Linked DNA regions of Rhinolophus ferrumequinum. The protein of the gene in region 2 interacts with the protein of the main gene of each other region in a biochemical or structural test. Links are inferred from orthologs where the notes say so. Each region holds a gene or a part of one and is shown on either strand. Other genes may lie near its edges. The genes, in order: PAWR and DAPK3.

Region 1 (9,228 bases), on a different chromosome or scaffold from region 2:
CATATCTATATCCCAAGACTGCAGCCCAATAGTTCTTAAACCTGACTCACATTAGAATCACAAGGGGAGCTTAAAAAAATATTATGCCTGGGATCCATCCCAGGCCCAATAAATCATAAGGGGGTCAGGAAGAAAGAGTATAAGTAATCTGTATGGGGGAGTATTTTTTTAAGATCCTCACATGATATTAATGTGTTGCCAAGTTAAGAACCACTGCACTCTGCCATTTAAAATACTATACAAGCAGGTATGCAAACATGTATGTGTAAATTATATAGGTATAAATACAAGTCTTAGCTCAAGACCCTCATCCTCAATAGCCTCTGTCAGTCTAATCATCTCTTCCTTTAAACACACAATATCTCTAACAAACAATTCGTTACATGCTGCAGTAAGATGGCTTGCAGGCTGCTAACTCCGTTCTTAAGTTTTTTCACGTAATTATGTCTTAGCTTTCTTCCTAGATTAGTCTTGCTCCCTGTTCTTCTTGTTTTCTCCACGGTATTTACGATAGTAGCTTTAACACAAACATGTAATAAACATTTGACTAATCTAATAAATGTATACAAAAATTACTGGAAGGCAGTATGTCACTTCCAAATTATCCAATTTGGGCTATTACCTCCCCCCCATAGAAAAAATGATTTAGAAAACAACTTCAAAAAACACTCTAACAGTAAATGAAAACTAAAGTTTTTCTCAATAACGAGCATCTGTATATTTGTACTTTTTATTACAGTCATAACATGAAGTATCCACCCAGTATTCTACCCTCATCCACCACTTTCAGTTTTTGACCTGCTTCCTTCCTAAAACTATCTTCTAGATGTTTTGGTATCTTTAGCTGCTGTCAGGTACTTTTACAACAATTTTATAATACTCTGTGATTAGTAAAATAAATTAATGCAATGTGTTACACACGTTTAATACTTCTTGAAGGAACTTACTGTTTATCAACCACTAAAATAAGCTTTTTGCATACAAAATGTTTGCTAATCTAATATAAACTTGGTTGGGAATATGGTCTGAAAATAAGAGTGTCAGTCAACATTATATATAATACAAGTCTATTTCTGAATAATGACAGATTGGTGCTTTTTCTGCTTTTATAATAATTTCATACATGAAAATTTTGTAAAATATTATGACTTTTAAACAGGAGTGCTAAGTAATATTACATGAGAAACTCCACAACAACTGGCATCCTCAATGTTGAAACTACTAATAGAAATGAATGACACACAATTCTAAAAAAGCAACAACCTAAAGATATAAAAATGCTTCATAGCGAATGGTTTGAAGCTTTGAGTCGTATGTTTTACCACTACTACAATAATTTGGGAGAGTTGTTTTCAAACTGAAAATATGGGGAGGAGGAACTCAAGAAGTATGTCTGCTAATTAGATACTGTGATAAAACATTACCATGTTTTGTTGAGTCCTACAGAATGAAACAGAGCCACAGTTACGACAAAAAAAAAAGCACTCCTCAATTCCCTGTTCCATAAAAAAGGTTCAAATTCCACAGACAAAAAAATGGTACCCTGGGTTGTTTGTTTTTAAGGAAGATTAAATTTAGGAGTTGCCAACACCCAAACGAAAAACATTCCAGAGTATTAGACTCAATTATAGTGGGAAGTCATCTACATTCTCAGCACTATGTTCCCTTACCCAAAGTAGGAATATTAACAAAGGATGTTTTTTAGGATCTCACAAGATACACCATACTTATTTCCCCCAGTAAACATTACCCTTGTTAAAAAAACAAAAACAAAATGGTATTTGAAAAATAACAATTTTAGCACAAGCAGCCAAATAATGAAGTTTAACATCTGCCAAGATATTTCCCAAAATAAGACCACTGTCAGATGGATAATGAAGAAAAGACTGAAAATGACAAATTCTTTTATTTGGACCATCAGCTACTTTAGAAAATAAACTTTAGGAATGTAGATTTTCCAAAGCCTTGTCTTGTTTCCCCTTAATCTTCATATTTTTAACTTAAAAAAAAAAAAAACCCTAGAAATTTGATTACCACTCTTGTGAATTCCTTTTAAAGCAATTTAATGAATAACAGATCTTTTGTGCAAGTAGCAAACCACAGAGGATAGTTTGGCTGGCTGATAAAAACCTCTCTGAAACACTCATATAAAAATATACCCTTCAAAGACAAACTGATTTTCCAGGTATGGGAATCATATTAAGACTTAAAAATTTGGGTATGTTTGATATACACCCTAACTTACTACCAATGCGTTTACTTGAACCACAATTAAAGCTCATAAATTCTTATTATTTACTTGGGGTCAGAGTTGAATAAATTGAAAGCCAGGAGTTAAAAAAAAAAAAAGTAAAATATAAGCCAACGATAAAAAGATGCAACTACTTTAGGTGAAACAAGGTGAGCTACATGAAAGTAACCAAAACTTGTTTAGGGTTGTTTTATTTAGGGTAGACAGCGGTGCAGTTACACACTCAGTAAAATGTTTCACCAGTCACTCTAATAGGAAGATGCTGCTGCCTGCAGAAGTATTTTGAGACTGCTCAAAAATACCAAAACAAAACAAAAATCCAACCCTACCACAAATGTTTTCCAGAATACATAGAGCCAAATACTTAAACATGAGATCGTCTTAGTAAAAAGAATTGTGGGTTGCTACGGCGTTCCTATTGTCCTAAATAGCACTCAGAAGTGTGTGTGTGTGTGTGTGTGTGTGTGTGTGTGTGTGTGTGTGTGTGTGTGTGTGTGTGTGTGTGTGTGTGTTGGGGAGCGCTATTTACAAAGGCTGGTTTATATATGAAATAGTGCACATATTCATTTGGATGTACTCATCTTGGGTTCACTGAAAGACAAAGCTGTCTTAGACAAATGCTAAGGCCACGTTTCCTTTACAGGTGCTATATTAAACACTGGTAAGAGAGAAAAAGAGATAAACAATATAACTTGAGACGGACACGTGAAAAACTAGAGTATATCGTCATCACCATTAATCAATTTTTCTAACTGATCAAGCATAGAAAAACAAACCTAGGTGAGCAAGTGCTGGGGCCAGGGATTGTCTTTCCACCACAGTGGGGGAAAAAAAGGATCCCGGGTCTGAGACGTTAGCCAGGAAGCCTGAAAAGCACGTGTCCTACTTGGGGTTTTGAGAACTTCCCAGGAAGCATTTGTTCAGAGTAAAACTCCATCACCCTCTGCCTGCCTAACTCGGTGCAAGGATAAGCGATTCGAGCTACAACAGGGAAACGCTTGGGCCCTGGAGGCCCGGAGCTCCCGGGAAGAAGGTTCCAGCAGGCGGCAGCCCCCGCCCCCACCCGGGTCCGGCCGCGGCCCCCGCCGGCTCACCTCCGCCGCGGGGATGTTGACCACGCCGGTAGAGCGCCGCTTCTCCCGCAGCTTCCTCTTCTCGATCTGCCCCTTGCCTTTCCTGGCACTGGGGCCCGAGCTCTTGCCCTTCTCCGAGGCGCCGTCCCGCTCCTCCTCGTCGCCCCGGGCCGGCGGGGTCCCCGAGGCGGCGGCGGCGGCGCCGGCGAGGGGCTCGTCCTCAGGCCGCCGCGGGCCGGGGGCCGCCCGGGTCAGCGCCGCGGGTCCCACCGCGCAGTTCACGCCCCCGGGGGCGGCAGGTGCGGCCGCGCCTCCCGGGAGGTTGTTGTTGAGCTCGTTAGCCGCGGCGGCCGCCGAGGTGCCGAGAGCCCCTGGCGGGGGCTTTCCGACCGCGTCGCTGCTGCCCCCTCCCGGGGCGGCCGGGCCCGGGGGGCTCTGCTTGGCGCGCAGCTTCTCGCGCTTCGCCTTCCACTCCTCCAGGAAGTCTGTGGTGCTGCTGCTGCTGCTGCTGCCGCCGCCGCCCGGTCGGTAGCCACCGGTCGCCATATTCCCAGCGGAGCCGGCCGGGCTCTCACCTCAGGCCGCCCACCCGGGCTCCGGCCGCCGCCGCCTCTTCCTGCCCGCGGCCCGGAGGGTGAGAGAACGACCCCCGCGGGAGCGGCCGGCCGTCTGAGGGGAAACACAAAAGGGGGCGGAGAAGCGAAGCGTAAGGTCCTCGCCCGGCCCGAGGGTCTCCCCGCGGCCGCGCCGCTCGGAGCCCCCACCCAGAGCGCGCCCACTCGTGCCCGCCGGCGAGTGGCTGCCGAGTCCCCAACCTGCGAAGTTTGTCCGACGCACCTACACCGCGGACGGGACGATCACCGCCCCTCGAGGGGAGGAGAAAGGGACTGTCCCCACCCCCGGCCCCCGCCCCATCCCCAGCGGGGTCCGCGCCTACGGCGGTCGGGGGACCAGGGCCGGACCCGGCCACCAGTCGGCCCGTCGCATCTCCTGCACCTCGCTCCGCGCACTGCCGGCCCGGGGTCCCCGCCACCGACACCCCCACTCCCCGGCGAGGCGCGGAGCCCCCGCAGCTCGCGGAGGCGGCGGGACGTGTAGACACCAGCTATCCAGCGGACTTGGGGAGGGACGGGTGCGGGGGCGGCCGGGGCAGCCCCTTACCTGGGAGGGGTTTGCGGGACGGGACGCTGGGCTGGGAGCGGGCGCCCAGGTGAGCGGAAGCGGCCGCGCGGAAGGAGCTGCGGCCAACTCGCCGTCCCGAGCTCGCCGCGCACCGGGCTGGGGGGGAGGGAAGGAGGGAGGGAGCGAGGGGCGGGAGGGGAGCCGAGCGGCGCCGAAGCGCGGGCGGAAAGGGCCGAGACGGCGCGGAGGGGCGCGGCGCGCGATGGGTGGGGGGTCGTGCCCGCCGCCGCCCCGCCCCGCCCCCGGCGCTCAGGTGCACGGCGCCGCGGCCAGCCCGCCGGTCGGACCGCGCATTCCTGGGCTCGCGGCCCCGCGGCGTCCGGCCTCTTGGCGCCTCCGACTCCGGGCGGGAACGGCCCCCCACGCCCTTCACCCGGCTCCTCATCTCCGCCTCTCCCTTCTCCCACCACTCTTCCTTTTAAGTACAAGACAGATTCTTCGAGGGAAAGTCTCGAATGCTGCTGGCAGAGGGGGCAAATGCAATCAACTTGGGATGATTCAGGCCTGACTAGCCAGGATGGGAAAACACTCGCGCGTCCCTCTGCCTCGTCGCCAACCCCTTCTCAGATGTACTAGGGTGGCAGGTAAAGAATAGAAAGAACTGATACAAACCCAGCCCCCTCCTTACTAAGAAAAGTTTGTGGTATCCTAGTGCAAGGGTTACCTAAAAGGAGGGGCTTAAGTCGACAGTTAAGGGTTTACTATTATACGTATAGAAGAAAACTTAAAAACATTTCGACAATGGATTGGATCTCAATTCTATTGGAATTTTCTTCTTAACCCTGTCTCTACATCTCCTCTTTGCAGATAGTGAATTTAGCAGCAAAGCTGCCTACCAAAGTACTAAAGCTGCGTTGATGCTGATTTGCTAGGAGCTGGGGCGGTGGGAGCCTCTATGTTTCCATCCTTAAGGCGCCGTAGGGTAAATCTTATCCTCAGATGCAAATCATCTAAGATTCCTGGATCAGGGCTGGGTGGGCTGCCCGTGACAGGGTCCTAAGGAGACTTACTACAAGCAGTGCCGGGGAAACATCCCTGTCATAGGGTACAAATGGACCATTTTGGAAGAAGTAGGCGAGCCCTGAGTCACACTCTTACCGAACAGTAAATCTCTCTTCCTATTTAGTATTCCTGTTTCACCCAGGTGGCTCGCGGTGGGTAGGCAGTCATTGTGTGCCTGCGACAGGAATGAGAACAGGAAAAAGTGATTCACTTGCTATTTATTTCTCAGAGGGGAGGTCATACAGTTCTGGTCTTTGGTCTCGCTGTTGGGGTGAACATATGGGTTACCGGGAGAGAGCTCTGGAAAAATCCTTAGAAAATTAAAGGCCTTCCTTGGGGATGGGTTTAAAATGCGGAGCCTAGCTGGTACCAACCTGGGTGCACCACTTGCAATTCCTCAATTACAGATTCTTCATTAGTTTGTTTTCTGAGTTTTAAGAGAGGAGAGGGAGGGTTGGGCATTAAACAGATTCATATGAATATGCTTGGAGGGGCTGCAGGATGCAGTGGAAAGAGGATATAGTCAGCCTGGATACAACTATAAGTAGCTGAGAGGTCTTGGGCATGTTTAAATTCTCTGAAACTCAGCTTTCTTTACTATAAAAGTCAGCAGCGACAGCATATACAGAGGGTGCCAAAAAATGTATACACATTTTAAGAAAGGAAAAGTGTATTAAAATTGTAATACTCAATATATACCGATAACAAAAGATGAATATAAGTCACGTTTGACTTCTGCAATTACAAGAGGTGCTCAGAGAGGTTACCATCAGTGTCCAGACACTTCTGATTACGGCGAACTGCTGTTTGAGCAACGTTGACCAAAGTGTCCACTTTCATACATTTTTGGGCACCCCCAGTATTTTTAAGCTGTTATAAGAATTGACATGGCAGGCGTGTTAACTGAGCTTGGTTCTAGGAAGGCACTCAGTAAATACAGTGCCTTTTATTAATGGGATATCACGCAGAGAGAGTCCTGGGTCTCTAAGATGTGGGGGGTTGGGTGGAATTAGGCAACAAAGGTACTGCACACACAAATGAACTTGAAAACAATAAGCTGAATAACTAGAATAACACTTATGCCACATAAATTTGTCACTGCATCTCTTAGACCAGTATTAATAGGCTCTGAGTCAGGAATGTTGGCTATTACTGACTAGTGTGGCTTTGAGTAAGTTGCTTAACTTTTGTGCCTCTGTTTACTTACATATAAAATAGGGATAATAATAATACTTCCTACATTGTGAGAGTGTTGTGAAAGTGCCTGAGGTCCTTAGATAAAAGGTAATATGTGAGTACCGGAGTAGTTATTATTAGTCTATAAAGTGCCCTAGGAACCATGGATGAAAGAGATTATTGATGTACAAAGCACTATATATTATTATTGTTACCATTTATTATACCTTTGTCTTTACCATTCTCAATATTCCCAAAGATATAGTTCACAGACAGACAACTTCCAATAGTGCATCAAGATATTTAGCTGAATCAATCCTAAATTGCAAAATGTTTGTATATCATCGATCTTGATGTATAGCATTCTGATGAAATAATCATCAGAGACTCGGAACTTGTTTCTCAGCTGCATCATTATTGACATTTGGGACAAACTAATTCTTTGTTCGGGGAGTTGTCCTGTCCATTGTAGGATATTTAGCATCATCCTTGGCTTTTACTTATTAGATGCCAGTATCTGCCCCCAATCCCGGTTGTGACTGCCAGATGTTCCCCGAGGGGCAAAATCTTCCCCAGTTGAGAAGCTCTGAGCTAGCTTAAAATAACTAACTTTGGTGACTCACTTGCTCTTAATAATAAAGGGAAGTATGATGCTAACAAAACAGAGAGATTCATTTTAATATGTCAGATTGAAATTTATTCTAAATGTTAAATCTTAATGTTTTCTAGGCAGTAGATTAGCTGTAATGTGAAATAGCCTATTTGTATGTGTTGAAATAATTAATAGGATATTGGGAAATAGCCATTTTGCCTTCTGGAGTATATGCAATTCACCCTCAAAAATAAGACACGTACATGGTTTTAAAAGTTAAATACTTTAGTTCTGCATGGACTATAGCAAAAGACTGCAACCTACCCTTTCCACTCCCAAAACCCTTTCCAGAAGTTGGAACTCTTTTAACTGTTTTTGCTAATATAGATCTTCATGTTTATTTTTTTAATGTTTCTAATACACATCTTCATACTTATTTTTTTAAATGTCCTTATCTGCTATTCTACTTTTTGATTTTTCCATTTTTTGACATCCTTTACTGACTTCCTAATACAGAAGAATATTTAACGCTCTTACACTAACTACATATACACTTTCCTTACTCCTAAATGCCCACTATATATCATGATTTTATTGAAGAACATTAAATGTTTACACTGTTATGACTATGCAAATATTGCTCATAGCTGAGCCATACAGTGTACTATGATTTATTTTTTTAACAACTTTTTTCTGTTGCACAACTATTTTTTCCACAGTTAAAATTTGTGTTTGTTGTTGTTGTTGTTTTCCTTCTCATTAGCTTATTTTTCTGTATACCAGTCACAAATTGACACTGAAACTTTTTCACCTCTCAACGTTAATCACATGGTGTACTCCATCAGTTCTATTTCTGTTTTCCTTGGAGACATCTCCTCTTAGAGCCCTCCATCCTCTGCTCTAGTCTGGATTGATTTTAAAGCACGTTGCTCCGTGGTTATCCTGGGATGATGCTTCCCTGTCATCCTGGGAATCATTTCCTGTGCAGACCCCTTGTTTCCTGAATCCCCTATTGTCCTCTTGTTTTTTCCCCCTCGTTTTAGTGGAGTACATGCTCAATATATTCTGGAGATAGGATTACACATTCTTGGAGACTTTGCAGGTTGGAAAAGGTTTTTAATTTGTCTCTGCACTTGATTAATAGTTTGTTGGGACATAGAACACTAGATTGGATATTTTCCTTCATAACTTTGAACACATCACTATATTGTCTTCTGGTTTCCAGAGTTGATGTTTAGAAAAGCAATGGCATTCTGATTCCTTTTATTTTCTCACTGGAAGTTTTTAGATCTTCTTACCCAGATCTTCCAAAATATCTTGAAGATTTGCCCTGATTTGGTCTTTTCTCATTATTATATTAGGCTCAGTGGACCCTTTCATTCTGCTTTCTGCCCTTCAATTGGAAAATGTCCTTGGCCTATAGCTGTGATAATTATTCCTTTCCATTTTTCCTGTTCTCTGTTTCTGGAATCCTCTTAAATAGATGTTGGACTTCTAAGAGCTCTCTAATAGTTTTTTTAATATTTTTTCTCCTGTTTCCATCTCTTTAGCATGTTGTTCTACTTTCAGTGAAATTTCCCCCACCTTATATGTCAATCTTTCTATTGAATTTTCTGGTTTTGCCACCATGGTTTTCTAAGATTTCTCATTCTCTAAATGCTTTTCTCCATAGTATCCTATTCTTGTGTCATCATCTTTTCTCTCCCTACGGAAATTGAACTTTTCTCCTGCTGGTCTTTCACTGTCTCTTGTCTATGTATTCCTTTTTTTTTCTTTTTCATTGTTTTATTCTTCACCTTTCATGTTAGAGGATTTCCTCATCAGTCTGTTGTTCATTCATATTTAAGACTGCAGCACTTAAAAGCTGATTGGATGCTCCTCTGTGAAAAGGCAGAGCTTACTGATTGACGGTCCTCATTTAGGAGGGTGTTGTTTGGACCCAGGCATGTTGT
Region 2 (9,802 bases):
CCTACCTCGGGCTTGGCCAGGGAGCTGGCAGGCACCACGTCTGGGCTGCCCAGTGAGCCCTGTCCCTGCCCCTTCCTGCAGGCTTCACCGCTGACCTGAGGTCCAACACGGGTGGCCAGGCCTTCCCGCAGTGCGTGTTTGACCACTGGCAGATCCTGCCTGGAGACCCTTTCGACAGCACCAGTCGCCCCAGCCAGGTGGTGGCTGAGACGCGCAAGCGCAAAGGCCTGAAGGAAGGCATCCCTGCCCTGGACAACTTCCTGGACAAATTGTAGACTGCCCTTCCTGCAGCCTGCCACCCGGGCACAGCCCCTCACCAGCCCACGATCGACCACAACAGCAAGCCCACACATTCTCATGACACCTCGAGACTGTCCAGACCTAGTGCCGCGCTCCCGGCAGGTTCTGGGGCCACTCCGTGCCATCGCTCAACATGACCACTTGATGCCGTCTCTTTCGATATTTATTTCAAGATTTCAGAGGCAACAGATATGCCCTAGCCGCAGGGACTTATTTGGCTGGTGGGGAGGCGGGATGGGAAACCCAACACTTTTTTTTTTCCATTTCAGAGGGAAATTCATGTCAAAAAATTCTAAGTAAATGCATTAAGAGGTTTATTTGGGTAAAATGGCCCCTAGTGGATTTTCCCCCGGAAAGGGGGAGGGAACAAGCGGTAGACATTTCTCTTCGGACAGAAGCTAGAAGGCAGGAAATAATTGTGCAGTGTCACCATGAGCACCTCCAGCTGTATTAGTGCCATTGGAATAATAAATTTGATTATGGTGGTGACCGTGTGTGTCCACGCAACTTCCTCTTCAGTCCACTCAGGCTGGGGTGGGTTTGCCCCATGCCAGCACACATGGCATCTGTGACACTGCGATACAGAAAACTCTGTAACCTCGAATTGTCATTTCAAATGTCAGGCCTGGGCTCAGACACATGATCCAAGGCGGTTGAACAGCCCTTCCGTCCAATGGAACGTATTGTAATGGAACTGTCCTACCCAAGTGCTGTGGAGAGGGTCAGCCACTGGCTGGCTACAAGAGCACGGGAAATAAGACCTGCGAAGCCAAGGAACTGAATCTTTTGACTCTAAATTTCCGTAGTCTCATGGCGCTGGGGATGCCTTATTGGTCAGCACAGGCTTGGGCAACTAAATTGTCCCTGCTCTCAAAGTTCACGGTACAATGAGGGCAAACCACAAATAAACACGCACCATACACGTTCTCTTGCCCAACCAGATTGGTTGAGAAATTCTAGACCAAGTAATGTGGGACCAAGATCTTTTTTTTCATCTTTGATAAGCATCACAAATGCATCCCTGAGACAGCTGAAACAAGGACAGTGCCCCTTGGGGGCCATTTTGAATTCTCAAACAGGAGAGTCCCCATTGGCATTGAGAAAGTAGGAACAGGATGGCCGGTTAGTTCAGTTGGTTAGAGCACGGTTCTCTAACAAGGTTGTCGGTTCAATCCCCACCTGGGCCAATGGCCTGCACTCCACAATTACACTGGAACAACTAGAGTTGGAGCAGATGGGTCCTGGAAAAACAAGTGAAAACGAGTGGTTGGATGTCCCAAATATGTGGAATCCCTGCCCATCCAAGAATTGTCCTGTGCAGTCTGTCCAGACCCCTAGCACCCAGATGTTTTGTGTTGGTAATTTTTTGTCATCTGTGATGTTTGACACTTATAAAACACTATAATTTCATGCAGAAAAGTTGCAAAGATGTTACAAAGATGTTAACATCCTACGTAACCACTATGTCAAACCTCAGAAACACTTAACATGACTGTTAGCAGTTTATTTGGTTTTCCACTAATGTCGTTTTCTCTCAGGATCCAATCCAGGATACCACATTGCATTTCATTTTGCACATTTTATAAAATTAGTTTCAGGTGCACAAAGCGATGTAATAGTTGGACATTTACACCCCTCACAAAGTGATAACCCACCTCCCCCAATCTACTACCCCTCTGACATCGTATAGAGCTGTTACACAATTCCATTGACTATTCCCTACTCTACTCCACATCGTGTGACCTGGTACATATGTTAAATTATAGTTGACATTCATTGTTACTCAGCTTCAGCTTCGGGTGTACAGTGCAGTGGTCAGGCATCTATACTGTCCCTGAACTGGTCTCCCTAGTAAGACAAGTGTCCATCAAATACCCTATAGAATCTTTACGTGATTGATTATATTCCCCAAACTGTCTTTCGGTTGTCTGTAGCAATCTTGTGGTTACCGATTGTGCTTTCTAATCCCCTCACCTTCCTCACCCCACCCCCTCCCATCTAGCAACCCTCAGTTTTTCCCTATATCTGTGAGACTGTTTCTGATTGGTTTGCTCATTTATTCTATTCTTCAGATTCCACATATAAGTGAGATCATAAGGTATTTGTCTTTCTCCGTCTGATTTATTTCACTCAGCTTAAAGTTCTCTAGGTCCATCCATATCGTTGCAAAAAGTAAGATTTCATTTTTTAGGCCGAGTAGAATTTTGCACAATTTTAATACCAACTAATTGCGCCAGGGAAGAGTATATAAACTGAGAAAATTGAACTGCATTTGGTTTAATTTCAAGAATTTTTCACCAATTCTAAATTAACTGGTGGCAGTGCCACTTGTGTGTGCTTTTATAGTTGTCACATTCACAGTGATTGCGTTTATAGGGGCTGACTGCTACCGTCAGTCCTTAAGGTCACGAGACTTGAACATTATTAGTATGTTACAAGTGTGTGTATATTTGTACGTGTGTATTGCTCTCTACTTACATTTGTTGTCTTTTGATTTTAGTTATTTTTCTCAGTTGTTTTGGTGTCCGGACCGCTGTACACTCTCAAACACTGAGGGTCCCAGAGTTTAAATGGGTATATCTACTGACATATACCGTATTTAAAAATTAAAATTAAGAAATTTAAAAAAGTTACTGATTTTAAAATAGCAATAAACTCATTACATTTTAACATAAATAACCTATTTTTAGGGGAAAAGTTCTCTGTTTTTCAAAACAAAACATGAGAGTGGGATTATTCTACATTTTTGCAAGTCTGCAGTCTTTGGCGTAATAGAAGACAGCTGGAGTCTCATGTTTGCTTCTGTATTAAATGTTTCAATACGTTGTTTTGGTTGAATTATAGGGAGAGAACCTACCCTCACTCATCCCAAACTTGGAAAAGAGAGAAGCATTTTAATACCTTTTTTCAGATAATTGTGGATATTCTTTGATACAAAACCAAAACTCAACAAGTGGTGTTTTTGTTTTTTTTTAATTTTTTCCTCCTTTCTTCCACTTCCCCCTCACACTCCGGTTCAAGCCGTTGTCTCTCAGTCTAGTTGTGTAGGACACACCCTGGCCCATGCTGGTATTATGAGCCTCAGCTGGTGGCCGCTGGGCCATTTACAGCAGCTCTCGCCAGCTGCACACGGTCGCCCACGGCACCACTCAGCAGCTCACGCCAACCTCCAGGTTCTCATGGCAGCCTAGCTCCAGGAAGTGCTGTTGTTCACAATCTTAGCTGCAGAGGGCGCAGCTCACTGGCCCATGTGGGAATCGAACCAGCGACCTCGGCATTAGGAGCTGGGCACTCCAACCACCTGAACCACTGGTCTGGCCCCAAGTGTTGGTTTCTTAAATAGAAATTACAATGCATCTGAAACCACATTAATGAGCTTTTCGTACTGTTACATTAAAATCTATTGGTCTGTCTTGCACTTTGAATGGGTCTTTTCTCCAGGCACGATTTTATAACACCAAGTGGTGGTGGTTTCGCAATATTGGTAAACCAAGTTTGCAGCTATTTGAGATGTTGACATAGTTCATTAAACACTTGAAAAATCAAATTTGTCAATATCAATTTCATCAGGAAAGTGTGGAAGTATTGGGAAACTGTCAAGCAGTTTTTGAAAATTTAATTTTTTGCTTGAAATTTTGCCATTGGCAACCATTACTGTCAACTGTTATCCTTGAATTGACAGTTTCAATTTGTTCATTTTTGAGAAAATGCTTCTGTGAAAAAACACACAAGTCTGAATTATTATAGTTTGTCAGGTTTTTTTGGAAGTAAAAATGATGTTTCAACTTCTCATTAAGTGTGGGCTGCGCAGAAGTAATTCCAAAGCATACAGTATGGAAGGGGAGAGAAAAGTATAGTGGAGAAACCTATCAAACTAACCTAGAGCCAGGTGACAGGGTCAACATCAACAGTGATAAGTCATGTGGATCGTATGGACCCTGGATAGGATGTGATGAAAATGGCACTTTACTATGTAATACATTACCCATCACCCCAGTCAAACCATGAGAAAAACATCAGATACCTCAATTGAGGGAAATTCTATTAGGTTGGTACTAAAGTAATTGCGGTTTTTGCAATAATACAAAATACCTGACCAACCCTCAAAACTGCCAGTCACTAAAAACAGGAAAGAGAAAACTGTCATAGCCAAGAGGAGCCTAAGCTGTGATTACTAAATGTCATGTGGGATCCTGGATGGGATCCTGGGACAGAGAAAGGACCGGGAAACTCAGGAATCTGAACAAAAGTAGGGACTTTGGTTAATAAAAATGTATCACCGCTGATTTCTTCAATTGTAAGACATGTACTATACTAATGGAAGACATAACAATAGGGTGAAACTGGGTATGGAAGAAGGTGCTGATTTAGCTGTGAACTGATGTGTGTATAGTTCTTAGACAGGACTGGAGGAAGGTGATCTCCAGGCAGAAGAAACAGCTCGTGCCAACACTTGGGTTAGGAATGAAATGTTTGAAGTCAGAAGGAAGGCACGTGGGTTTAAAGTAGAGTGAACAAGAGGAGAATGGCACGATGTTAGGGTGGTCAGCAAAAGCCAAAAGACAGTCTAGTGTCTGAGGTGGTTAAGCATTAATTTGGGTTCAGGCCTATCTGGGAATCAATCTCAGCTGTGTCATTTACTGGCTGTGTGATTTTGGGTGGGTTACTTAACCTCTCTGTGGCTCAGTTCCCCATCTGTAGAACGGGGGAAATAATATAATTTACCTCCTAAGGTTTTTTTGTTTTGTTTCGTCTCGAGACAGACAGGAATCATAGAAGGATCCTCAAGAGGGAAAGGCAACACCTAACTGAACTCCTCATGTGTATTTTTATTTACGGATTTGGAATGTGGGTAACATTTTACAGCTACTCGGGGACTAAAGCAGCCCAGGAGCTGCCATGCCGGAGCTGGACCTTGGATTCGTATATCTTGTGACTAAGAAAGGCAGGAAGAGGGATGCAGGACTTCGGCGTGCACCTTCCAGCTTCAGGACCCAGGTCAGAGAAGAGCGGGCGGGGCGACCCAGGGGCCGAAAGTCGATCTTCTGACTTCCGTAAGCTTGACCGGCTTCCATTATAGCCAATCAGCTTCATAAAGGCGAGCCTGTCGACCAATGGAAACGAGGCATCCGGGTGCGGAGGGCCGAACGCTAGCGGACCTGGGCCTGACAGGAAGCAGGGGAGGGGCGTCACGATCGACAGGGGCGCTGACCAATGGGTCTCCGCCTCCCAGAGGAAAGCACGGGCGGCCACGGTGACGTAGCCGCAGGTCAGCGCGTAGAGGCGGCCAGCGCGGCGGAGGGGCGGGCTGGGGCCGCGGGGCTGTGGAGGGTGAGGAGTGGGCTTTATTCGAGGCTGTTGAGTGTGTGTGTGTGTGTGTGTGTGTGTGTGTGTGTGTGTGAACCCTTGGGGGACCTGCGGCACGTTTGGGGGACTTCTGGGATGACCGAGCCGGAGAGGGGTCTGGGCCGGGGCCTGTGAGGGGCGTGGTGGCCTCTGGGGCACGTGAGCAGAGACGTTACCGGTTGGGGACCCTTGGAAGGGTTTATGAAGGGGGATTTCCGGGTCTGCCATGGAGTTTGAGGGAAGGTTGGGGGCGACGGGCAATGGAGGAGACTCTCAGATGTGGCTCTTTGCCGGGGACGCATTCGGAGTGAGGGAGCCGGAGGTGGGGGCCTTTACCTGGAGGGATGCCTTTGAGGAGAGGGAAGAGGGGTCTTGCTAGCACGGTGGAGTTCAAGGGTAGGCCAGAATGGGTAGGGAGCTTGCAGGAGCTTGGAAGCTATTGTCCAGTTCCTGGAGAATTCAGTATTGGGGGGAGCATACCGCTGAGGAGGGCCTTAAGGGACGGCTGAGGTGGGGGTATGTGGAGCGCATGGGTGAGGATGAAGAGGACTCGAGAGTGCTGATGGGCACGGAGATGGGAGTGTTGGGACTGGCACCGGGAAGTTGGGCAGGGAGTGAGGGAGTTCTGGGGCTCGGGAGTGTGAAGCGGGGGGAACTTGCAGGAATGTGTGGGGGCCCTGGATGAGTTGGTGGGAGAAGCCTAGGAGGGAAGAAGCAGAGAAAGGCTGGGGCAGTGTGTGAGGAACCAGAGGTATGTGCCTGGTGGGAGTTGGGGGGCAAGGTGGCACTTTCGGGCTAATGGCGGCCTTTTGGCCGGTTTAGTGTCTAAGTGAGATGACACACGAAAGTACCTGGCCTGCCAAATTCAAGTGTCCTTCCCAGGGAGCGTGGAACTTCAGCGTGGAGTGATGTGAAACCTATTTTTGGTGATCAGGTTGCTTCGTTTACTATGAGTAATGGCTGGCATCTCACTCCTTCCCCATTTCCCTGTCTCCTCCAGGATCACGGCTGGGGGACTCCCCGAGGTCCTGTCCCCAGGCTGCGGTGACTGGGCTTTCACTGGAGCAGAAGGTGCTGGAAGGCAGACCGACCACCATGTCCACATTCAGGCAGGAAGATGTGGAAGACCACTATGAGATGGGGGAGGAGCTGGGCAGGTGAGTGACCCCTTTGACAAGGCTCCAGGGTGGGAGAGGCACTGAGGGGTTTTCTGGATAGTTCTCCTCTCCTGTCCTCTATCCTACTCTCCTAAAAGGAATGAGTCAGGGTCATGTGCCGGTGAAACAAGTTTGGGCTTTGGAACCAGACAGCCTGGCCGAGAGTTCTTACTCTGACATCCTCTCTGCATTTTCCTTTGGGGAGAAACGTAATTGAGCACATATGGTATGACACAGTGCCTGGCATATGGCGTGAGAGCAGTAGGTGTTAGCAGCTTTTGTAGGTAAAGGTCTGTTCCTCTCTTAATCCTCTCTTAGGGGTGGTACTTGAGTCTTCCCAGGTCTTGACCTTTCCAGGGAAGGCCTCCGGTCTGGGCCCACAACCCTGCCAGTTGTGTAGCATTCTTGTGGGAGAGAGGGGAGGCTTTCTGTGCCAGCCAGGCAGCTGATTTCCTGCCTGGCCGGGCCTTATAGCCTCCCCTGGGAGCTGACTCCCCCGCCACCCCAGATCAGCTAGGCACTATCCCTTTTTGTTTTTGGTGGAGCCTCAAACCTTATTTGGTGAGTTTGCTGCTGGCTGGCCCCATGATGTCACCAGAAGGGAATGTAAATAACTGAGCCCTGCTTTCAGGCCTTTGCTGAGAGAGTGTTTCAGGCTCATTTGGGATTCTGAAGTCTCTCCTTTAGGAATTTCCCCTTTAGAGTGGTAGTGAATGCAGCACCCCTCACCCCAAATCTCATACTTTATTGTTGAAAATGTATTAGGATAGCCTGCTGAGGATAGTTTCGCAAAATTCAGCAAAATGTCGTATGTGTATTCCCTTTAACCCACAGGTTCCACTGCTAGGAATTAATTCAGTGTGAATACATACATACATGGACCCAATGACCTAGGAACAGGGAGAGTTGCTATAAAGATTTTATAAGAGCAGAAGATGGGAAGCATCTTCAGCGGCCATCACAGCACCCCTGCATCCATAGATGGAACATTATGCAGCCATTAAAAGAGCCAGGCACCTTGTGTAATGTGAGCCACAGAAGAAATTGATTGAAATTTAATTGAAAATTTAAAAGCTGTGTCAGTTTTAATAATTTTAATGATATATTTCATTTAACCTGATCAAACTATTATCATTTTGCTTTTTTATAAACTTTTATTTAAGTGTGTTTTTCCAGGACCCATCAGCTCCAAGTTAAGTAGGTGTTTCAGTCTAGTTGTGGAGGGCGCAGCTCACAGTGGCCCACTAACGGAGCTAACCAGCCGCCCCCGTGTCATTTTGTAATCATCATGTAATCAGTATAGCAATTATTAGTGAAATAATAATTCCGTTTTTTTATCATTCAACATTTTATATATAATAAATACAAACTTTTTATAGCCACTGGAAAGAAAGCACGTCTGCACCGAGACACTCCCTTCAAGCCTGACCCTGTGCACTGTGATGCTGCATTAAATGTCCTGGAGGGAGGGGTTCTTCTTAAAAAGGAGGCATATTTTTACAGCTTTGTTTTTTTGAAATAAAATTAGCAGCTCTTCCAAAAAATATTTTAAAAATATGACAAAAAATTTCAAATAACCCTCCAAAAATGTGGAAAAGCGAGATTCAGGACAATTTGGCTAGCGAAAGCGAAAATACAAGAGTGGGTGGCAAGGGGGCGGACGGGTAGCTCAGTTTGTTAGCGCGTGAGCTCTGGGCAACGGGACTGCTGATTTAATGCCCACATGGGCCAGCGAGCTGCGCCCTCCGCAACTAAAATGAAGTCAATGAACTGGCGCTGAGCTCCCGGGTGGCTCAGTTGGTTGGAGCATGGGCTCTCAACCACAAGGCTGCTGGTTCGACTCCCGCAAGGGATGGTGGGCTGCGCCCCCTGCAACAAACGGCGACTGGACCTGGAGCTGAGCTGCACCTTCCACAATTAAAACTGAAACAACAACTTGACTTGTATGGAGCTGATGAGTCTTGGGAAAAACACACTACTCTTCGTTCCCCAATAAAAAGTCTTGGAAAAACACACTGTTCCGCAATAAAGTCCTGTTCCCCTTCCCCAATAAAATCTTTAAAAAAAAAAGAAAAAAGAAAAAAACCCAAAAAAGAATAGAGAAAACAAAAGTAATGGTGACTATTAGAAATGTACAGGGGCCATTACTGCAGATGGATCAAGACCTGCTTAAAAGGGTGGCAAGAACTGCCTAATTTTATGCACTTTGAAGATTTTTTTTCTTTTTAACCTTTTTTTTTTTTTTTTTTAAATTTTAAGTGTGTTTTTTCAGGATCCATCAGCTCCAAGTCAAGTAGTTGTTTCAATCTAGTTATGGAGGGCGCAGTACACAGTGGCCCATGTGGGGATCGAACCGGCAACCTTGTTAAGAGTACACACTAACCAGCTGAACCATCCGGCTGCCCCTCGGCAGCTCAGTGGCAGCTCTGCTCAAGTTGTCCTCAGTCTAGCTGTGGAGGGTGCAGCTCAGCTCCAAGCCCAGTCGCCAGCCTCAATCTAGTTGCAGGGGGCGCCGCCCACCATCCCATGTGGGAATTGAATCGGCAACCTTGTTCAGAGCTTGCGCTCTAACCAACTGAGCCATCCGGCTGTCCCTAGCACCTCTTTTTGATATGAAGCCTTTGAAGTGTGGTGTGTATTGTTGGCTCACAGAACATCTCGATTTGGACGGGCTTGACAGTGCCTTGTGGCCAGTGGCTGCTACCTTGGCCAGCACTGCTCTGTGTGATGGTTGGGAACATTCTCAGAGATACATGAAGTGAAGGATTAATGGCATAGAACACTGCACACTGTGTTGTAACTTGTATAAATTGTAGATGTCGTTTGGACATCTGAATTCTAGGCTGTCTTTATGTTACTTCCGTTCATCTACCAAAGGACCTACGAGGCAGGTGCCATTATCCTCATTGTAGATAAAGAAACTGAGGCTGAGTAGAGGGCGGCGGCTTACCCAAGGCCACGCAGCCTGTCAGTGGCCAAGCAGGATTCAGATCTTGGGA

What was found.
Region 1: of the proteins of DAPK3 (region 2) and PAWR, one has a biochemical effect on the other in vitro, tested with the Homo sapiens proteins (2 studies listed by BioGRID). The link is inferred for Rhinolophus ferrumequinum from reciprocal best matches to the Homo sapiens genes DAPK3 and PAWR.

What each region holds. Positions count from the first base shown.
Region 1 is NC_046293.1:73,411,249-73,420,476, forward strand, and holds the start of PAWR (PRKC apoptosis WT1 regulator protein), read right to left. Parts: upstream 4,614-9,228; 5' UTR 4,486-4,613; intron 3,994-4,485; 5' UTR 3,871-3,993; coding exon 3,346-3,870; intron 1-3,345. UniProt on the Homo sapiens protein: Pro-apoptotic protein capable of selectively inducing apoptosis in cancer cells, sensitizing the cells to diverse apoptotic stimuli and causing regression of tumors in animal models.
Region 2 is NC_046301.1:59,574,696-59,584,497, forward strand, and holds the start of DAPK3 (death-associated protein kinase 3), read left to right. Parts: upstream 1-5,557; 5' UTR 5,558-5,631; intron 5,632-5,762; exon of another isoform or gene 5,763-5,968; intron 5,969-6,646; 5' UTR 6,647-6,741; coding exon 6,742-6,803; intron 6,804-9,802. Other genes in the region: EEF2 (elongation factor 2), read left to right, coding at 82-275. UniProt on the Homo sapiens protein: Serine/threonine kinase which is involved in the regulation of apoptosis, autophagy, transcription, translation and actin cytoskeleton reorganization. Involved in the regulation of smooth muscle contraction.